Linked DNA regions of Diceros bicornis minor. The protein of the gene in region 2 interacts with the protein of the main gene of each other region in a pairwise test. Links are inferred from orthologs where the notes say so. Each region holds a gene or a part of one and is shown on either strand. Other genes may lie near its edges.

What was found. The genes of interacting proteins can lie anywhere in the genome.
Region 1: the proteins of EHMT2 (region 2) and MX2 interact in binary tests that used the Homo sapiens proteins (3 or more experiments, as listed by UniProt). The two-hybrid records come from large-scale screens. The link is inferred for Diceros bicornis minor from reciprocal best matches to the Homo sapiens genes EHMT2 and MX2.

What each region holds. Positions count from the first base shown.
Region 1 is NC_080766.1:41,125,504-41,129,249, reverse strand, and holds the start of MX2 (interferon-induced GTP-binding protein Mx2), read right to left. Parts: upstream 2,492-3,746; 5' UTR 2,409-2,491; intron 2,380-2,408; exon of another isoform or gene 2,225-2,379; intron 1-2,224.
Region 2 is NC_080753.1:32,916,927-32,920,672, reverse strand, and holds the start of EHMT2 (histone-lysine N-methyltransferase EHMT2), read right to left. Parts: upstream 2,528-3,746; 5' UTR 2,507-2,527; coding exon 2,227-2,506; intron 2,131-2,226; coding exon 1,924-2,130; intron 1,825-1,923; coding exon 1,571-1,824; intron 775-1,570; coding exon 690-774; intron 598-689; coding exon 557-597; intron 444-556; coding exon 288-443; intron 1-287. UniProt on the Homo sapiens protein: Histone methyltransferase that specifically mono- and dimethylates 'Lys-9' of histone H3 (H3K9me1 and H3K9me2, respectively) in euchromatin.

The DNA.
Region 1 (3,746 bases), on a different chromosome or scaffold from region 2:
CGCGCAGGCTCACGCCGGCAGAATGGAGAACACTGCAGTTAATTAGAAAATTTCTCCTCCTTTGACCTGGCACCTTGTGCTGAATCTGGAAGATCCCCAGACAGACCTGTGGGACTATTTTGTCTCCTTTCTTACTAATTAGGAAATTAGTTTCTCCTAAAAGCAGAATATAACAAGAAAAATCTGGCTCCCTGAGATTTCAGCAGCTTCCAGGAAAGAGGAAGATGTTATTACTCACGGATCCAAGTCTAAACCTTCATTCTATTCTCGGCTTAGCCCCGTGGTTCTATGTGAACCACAGGGGAAGAGATAAAAGTCTGATTGTCCTGCAAAACCTTCCAGAATTGGTCACATATCATGGGAGACCGTGTGGCCTGAATTTCTTCTTCCTGCTAGTGGCGTGACCTGGAGAGGCCACCAGTGTCCTGAGATAATCTCCCCCAGTGATGCCAAGGATTGCTGGCAACAACCAGAAGCTGGAAGAAGCCAGGAAGGATTCTATGCAGTCTCAGAAGGAACCAAAACCCGCTGACGCCTTGATCTCAGACTGCCAGCCTCCAGACCCAGGAGAGATTACATTTCTGTTGTTTACACCACCGAGTTTGTGGTGTTTCTTACGGCAGCCCCAGGAACCTAATACTTCTTGGTTTGTACCTAACCTGTTCCCCTAAATGTCTTCCTTTGCTGGGAAGAGGTGGAATCAATGTCTCTTTCTAAAAATTTGAAGGCATAATAATTTAACTCTGTATGTTACAATAGGGAAGAAACAAATGCTAGAAATCAGGTGCCCTCTCCCTCAGCAGAGCCACCTTTCCAGCACACCACTGAGGGTGGCCTGTGCCACCAATACCACAAGCAAGGGGCCTCCTGAAGCCCTGAACGTAGGCTTTGGGGCTCCAATTCTGACACCAATTCCGATGTGGGTTTTTTTTCCGACACCACCAAGCAATTAACTCAATTCCGACACTATCTACAGGAGATAGTATCAGATTCCACAGGGTAAGGACTCAGTCCTACCAGCTGGCTCCGCCTCCCGCCCCCTCATCCCGCCCACTTCAGATGCCAATCACAAGGCCAGGTTGTCACCTGTGCTTCTGACCAATGGGCTATAGATGGGAGGTTCCCACCACCCCTGCTTGGGTTTGAATAATGTGCTAGAGCAGCTCACAGAACTCAGATAAACATTTTCCTTACTGGATTATGAGTTTATTATAAAAGGATATAACTCAGGAACAGCTAGATGGAAGAGATGCATAGGGCAAGGGATGGGGAAAGAGTGCAGAGCTCCCATGCCCTCTCCACAAGCACCGCTCTCCCCAAATCTCCCCGTGTTCACCAACCTGGAAGCTCTCCTAACCCTGTCCTTTGGGGTTTTTATGGAGGCTCCATTCCATAGGCATGATTGATTACATCATTGGCCATTGGAGATTGATTCAACCTCCAGACCCACTCCCAGGGTTCAGGGGTGGGACCGAGGTGCCCACTCTCCAATCACAGGGCTGGTTCTCCTGGCGACCAGCCCCCATCCTAAGGTGCATTCCACAAGTCACCTCATTAACATAACAAAAGATAATGCTCCTTTCACTTAGGAAATTTCAAGAGTTTTAGGAGTTCTGTGGCAGGAAAGAGGATGAAGACCAAATAATACATTTCCTTTTTTCCCCCAGTGTTTGTATATATTGCGAAATGATCACCACAATAAGTCTAGTTAACACTGGGCTCCATACATAGTTACAACACTCTTTCTTGTGATGAGGACTTTTAAGATCTACTCTCTTAGCAACTTTCAAACATGCAATAGAGTATTAACTATGGGAATGTAACATACAGCATGGTGACTACAGCTAATATATTTCTTATTATAAATCACAATGTCTCCGGGGCACAAAGCTCCCGCCCAATGCCCGGATGTGTGCACTCCACGGATGCCCAGCAAAGGTGTCCCAAAATCCACCCCTTCGTGGCCACAAGGCTTTTGGCCAGATTTGGGAAGGGGGGCCGCCCTGTGCTCCCAGACCAGCCACTTCTCTCCTAGAATCTGCCCTCTGCATGCAGGGTTGGCTGGGGGCCAGCGGCAACACGGGCGTTTCTGAGTCTCTCGGGAGCAGCTGCAGAAACTTATCTTTATGGCTCCTGCCTTCCGGCACAAGCCACGTTTACAGGGAAATCCTTTTAAAAGGCACCTCTGCTGCATGAACACACCCCCGCACCAGCCCACTCTTACCTGTGCGCCTCCAGATCAGAGACCAGGCAACTCATATCTCTCCCTTGCTCTGATTCCCTTTTATCTGGTGTGTGAACCCCTCCTCCCCACGCTATTTTCCCTTTGCCGACAGCCAGAGAAATGAAACTAATGGCCTGACCACAGAAATGAAACCGAAAAATCGACACGCTTTCCGGTGACTCACACAGTGGTCCTCAGATTCAAGCTGCATCAGAGTCTCCGGCGAGTGGGGGGCTTGTGAACACACCACAGGGCTGGGGGCTGGGGGCTGGGGGCTGGGGGCTGGGGGCTTGGCCCACTCCAAGGATCTGATGCTGCAGATCAGGGGCCAGCCGAGAATCTGCATTGCTAACAAGTTTTCGGGGGAGGCTGATGCTGGGCCACACTTGGAGATCCAGGGACTCAGCCGCGCTGTCCCGTGGGACTTTCTGTGATGATGGAAATGTTCTATTCTTCGCTGTCCAATTTGGGAACCACACTGAGCATTTGAAATGTGGCCAGTGTGATGGAGGAACTGAATGTTTTATTCTTTTTAATTCTAATTAACTTAATAGCCACTGTGGATGTGGCTCCCCTAGCGGACGGTGCAGGGCATGGAGATGTTTACTCAGGTATGTGATCTGAAAGTTCTGAGACATCCGGCTGGCATGGAGCCTGAGCCACACCAGCAAATGTCACCCTCTCCCCTGTTAAATGCTGAATATCCAGAGAAGGGAAGTAAGTCCACAGCTTCCCAAAATGACCCATTTGCGCAATGCATACCCTCACACTCCAGTAGTTCCCACACCCTTTAAGAGTTCTCGCTCCCCTGTGGGAAAGGAAGAGGGCTGCCCCGCACTAGACACGGGCTTCAAGCCAGGAACTCAGCCCCGAGCCAGAGTGATCTTCTGGTCCTGCTACTTCATCTGCAAAAATGCGGGCATGCGCCTAAGTGGTCCGCAAGGTCCCCCTGCTCTGTGATCCAAGCGCCGGTGAGCCAGGTGTTCCCGTCACCAAGGCGCAACTGTTGGGAACCCCAGGAGCCCTCAGCATGGGGGCGGGGGAGTGGGATGACGCAGAAGGGAAGAAGCAGCCCTCAGTCTCGGTTTCACTCTCGCGATCATCTCCAAAACGGAAATTAACATTATAAATTAAGAAAAAAAATCCTGAGCATCTCTTCGCTCATTCACTTTACTTACTGCCCTTGTGGGCAAGTTTTTCTTAAAGAAGGAATTTAGAGGCTTAAAAAAAATGTTTTTACCATTAGGAGGTCACAGGGAGGCAGTGTTCAGGGTCTGCACCGCAGGACCGAACACTGACCCGAATCACTCCAGAGTCCCCGGCGGAGGCTGAGAGCGAGGCGAAGGCTGAGCGCGGAGGCACTGCGCAACCGAATTGGCAGTGGGATAGTTTTTTTGCTTCGCCACTGATGTCCTTTGTAACAGGCCTGGCGCATCTACTGCTCCAGGAAAGGCACAAGCGAAGGCACCGGAGAAGCCAGACAGGGTGACACTAGCTCATGTGGAGGCAGCAAGCGCAGCTG
Region 2 (3,746 bases):
TGAGACAAAACCAAACAAAAAGCAAAAGAAAAAACAAATAACAAATAAACCATAAAATGGGGTGCTGAACCCAAAGTCCACGATGGTGGTCACCACTGTGGAGAGAGGTAAAGGGATGGAATGGCGTGGAACACACACTGGAAATAAGTTATAGACAGGATGCGGCAGTAAATTAGTGGCTGTTCAGAAGATAAGAAGGAAAGAGAGAAAAAGGGGGCAGGCAAGACTGGAGAGCAAGCCCTGGATGAGGTGAGGTGCTGGCCAGGAGGGCAGCCGCTCCCTCTCACCTTGCTGTCAGAGTCCACACGCTCATCCACAGAGTAGGAATCGTAGTAGAGGCTGAAGTCGTCACCTACTACTGTCTCCCACTCCTCCAGGGACCCGGGGTTCCCCTTCTCCAGGGTCACTTCTCCCGAACCCCGGGCAGAACCCAACTCCTCCGACTAGAAAAAGATAAAAAAATTGAAGCTGCTCCCCCCCACCCATCAACCTCCCATTTCCTGGAAGGGCAGCCCCCCAGGCGGAGAGGGCTTGTTCCCTGCCTCTCCTGGCTCACCAGGCCACCTCCTGAATTCAGCTTCCTCCTCTTGGCCACATCTGGAAGGAGAGAGAGAAAGGCGTGAGGTCTGTGCTCTAACCTGTCAGGACAGGCCAGACCAAGCCTCAGGTGGGTGGGGGGTGGGACTGACCTGAGGTCACCTTCCCCAACGAGTGCACATCATCACTCATGCGGAAATGCTGCACTTCAGGGGGCCGCTTCTCAGGGACTAGGGGCTGGGGGCAAGAGGGAGCACATTTAAGGTCAGGGAGCCTTTAGCCTGGAACCCCAAGTGGGGGTGGGGTGGTGAGCCACACCCTCAAAAATGCCCTCTGAAGCTCCAGTAACCAGAACATGAACTGCTGTATCCTGGGAGGAAGTGTGTCAAGCACATCCCATACCTAACACTCACTCACCTCTTCACACAGAAGCAAGCCCTTTCTCCCCATTTTACAGGTGAGAAAACGAAGGTTAAGGCCTTCACCAAAGCTACCCAAACCACACCCAGAACAAAATGATATGCAGAACCCTAAGAACACTGTCATAAAGCTTCTGAGATTCTGGGGCCTTTGTCATTTTCCTCCTCTGTCATTTCTGTGGCCCTCATCTCCTTCCCTGTAGAGATTTATAGTAAAATCTTTAAAAATGGAGCAGGGGCAGCTTCAAAGAAGGGAGGAAAAGTTCCCTTGAGACTTGCTTTGAGGTAGAAAGGAAGAGTGGTTTAAAGTTTCTTTACATAGTCATTACCATAAGAGTAATTAAGGCATTAACTACATAATTAGCTCATTGACATTTCTCTCTTCTACTCCCCTCTCCCCAAGAATGTTAACTCCAGAAAGACAGGAAGGAATATGTCTGTTCACAGATTAAGCCCCAGCCTAGAATTTGACACACAGTAGCCCCTTGGTAAATACATCAGGCTGTGAATAGATTAGAGACCGCTTAAAGCTAAATTGTAGAAAAGCCCACAAGGGGTTTACGGTTGATTACCCCTGTCTCTCCCACTCCCAGCAGCCCTCCCCCAATCCTCACCTGTCCATTGCCTGGTTTGGACATGGTTTTCCTGGCTCGGTGGACCTTGGGCTGCCCCTCTGGGCTGGTTGTAGCTGGAGGGGGTTCAGGCCCTGCTGCTACTGCCCCCTGGGCCCCCGGCATACTCAGCAGCCTCATAGCCAAACTCTGGACTGATGGGGGTGATTTTCCAGCCCCTGTCATTGACATCTTGGCCCGGCTGGGACAGGCACCCCCCTTGCTGGGAGAAGACGGGAAGGACTTTGTGGCATGGCCTGGAAAACAGACAGGGCAGGCAGGCAGAAGGCAAGATAAGAGGGAAGGCAGAGTCAGAGGATACCCCACCTCACCCCCTAGACTCCCCAGCCTCTCACCCAGCAGGATGCGGCCCCCATCTCCCTCGAGATTCTCCGGTTCATCCCCAATAAGCGGTGTGGCCCCTACAGGAGTGTCAGCCCCCTCATCACCAACGGTCACGGTGACAGAGGCTGGGGATGACGCGCCAGTAGGCTCCAGGGAGTCGGGGTTGGCCTTGGGCAGGGTCTCCTCACTACGAGGGGTGTCCCCCAAAGAGCCATGAACTGAAAGGGAAGAAAAAAGTTCAGGTTTAAGGGCTCAAGGAATCCTGTGCTGTGGGAGGTGAAGGTCCAACCGGGCCGTTTCTGCCAGAAACTCACCTCTGTCGCTGGCTCCTCTGGGCTCCTTCTCCAGCACCAGCGCCCCCATCTCAGCGGGGGCCTCCCCCTGGGAGGGGACACAAGGGATAGGAGGACTGGTCAGCCCAGTAGGAAGTTGGGGGGCCCAGGACGCCTGGGCCCTGGGAAGAGAGAGTAGGCTCCGGGGCCTACCTCTTCCTCTATGGGGGCCCCCCCTTCCGCGGCCTCGGCTGCCCGGAGGGGCCGCACGACCTCTCCCCCGGGCCCGCATCAACCCCCTCCCTCTCGGTAGACCCCGCATCTCAGGGGCCGAGAAGAGAGAAGGGGGAGGGGGCGGGGCCTCCGCGCCCCGGCCCCGCCCCCTCCTCCCGGCTGCACGCGCCGCTCCCCCTTTGTCCCCCAGGCCGCGGGGACCCCGGGCACCAACCCCTCCAGCGCCCGCTGCCCCCCAGCCCGGTGGACGGCCCCTCGTGCCCCTCGCGCGTGCTCCTGGGGCCCCGGCGCCCGCCACCCACTCGGGGGCAGCCGGCGGCTGCACGCGCGCCTCCGTGCCCACTCCCCCCACCTCCCACCCCCTGGTCCCCTCATCCGCCCCCAGTGCTGGCCCTCCGGATTGCTGCAAGTCCCGCCCGGGCCCCCCGGCCCCGTTGCACCCCCGGAGCATTGCACGGGCGCGCGCTTCCCCCGGGCGCGCGCGCGGGCATGCACCCGCCTCTCCCCCTCCCCTTCCGCACCTCGGCGGCCGCCGCCGCTGCAGCTCCCGCCGCCGCCGCCATCGCCGCTTGCGCGGGGGGCCGAGCCGGCGCGCGGCCGCCCCGGGTCACGTGGGCGGGAGAGGGCGGGCTAGGAGGAGCCTTAAAGGAGCCAGTACGTGCTTTCTGGCCTTTTTCCCCGAGAGCGGCCTTGGAGACGGCAGTGGCTGTTCTAGGCTGGGGGCTGCAGGGGAGAATTCCTTCCATTCCTGGCCTCGCCTCAGCGGGGAACCGAAGGCGAGGCACGCCTGGGTCCACGTGTGGCTTCTGCATCCCCCCTCTGGTTTTAGGTAACAAGCGGAGCGTCTGACTCTCCCGGCTCTCGGCAGCGGTTCTATTTCCAATCTGGCCTGCGTGTGCTTCTCCCGCTTCTGGTTGCTTTCAGTTTCTGGGTCACCAGATGGAAGGCTCGGCCTCAGTTTTGGCCTCGCTTCTCTAACGAGCAAGAAGGAGGCGATGGGGACGCGCGGAGGACACCTTTCCTCTTGGCTGGTTCTAGCATGCTGCTTCATGTCCCCTGGAGCAGCGTCCCCTTTTGAAAACCTGGGGCTAAATGTCTGTTATGTTTATGCCAGACATGTTACGCCACCACATGCATAGGAATCCAGGTGAGCCCCCCAGCGGCCTAAGAGTCATTAGTGTCTGGTGACACTCTAGTAACCTTTTTTGACAAACACTTCACTAGCAGAGTCAGGCACTCCGTGGGTCATAGCCCAGCCGAAAGTGGAAGTATGAATGATATTACACCAAGCTATACCAACTTGATAGCAGTGTTTAGGGTACCATCCC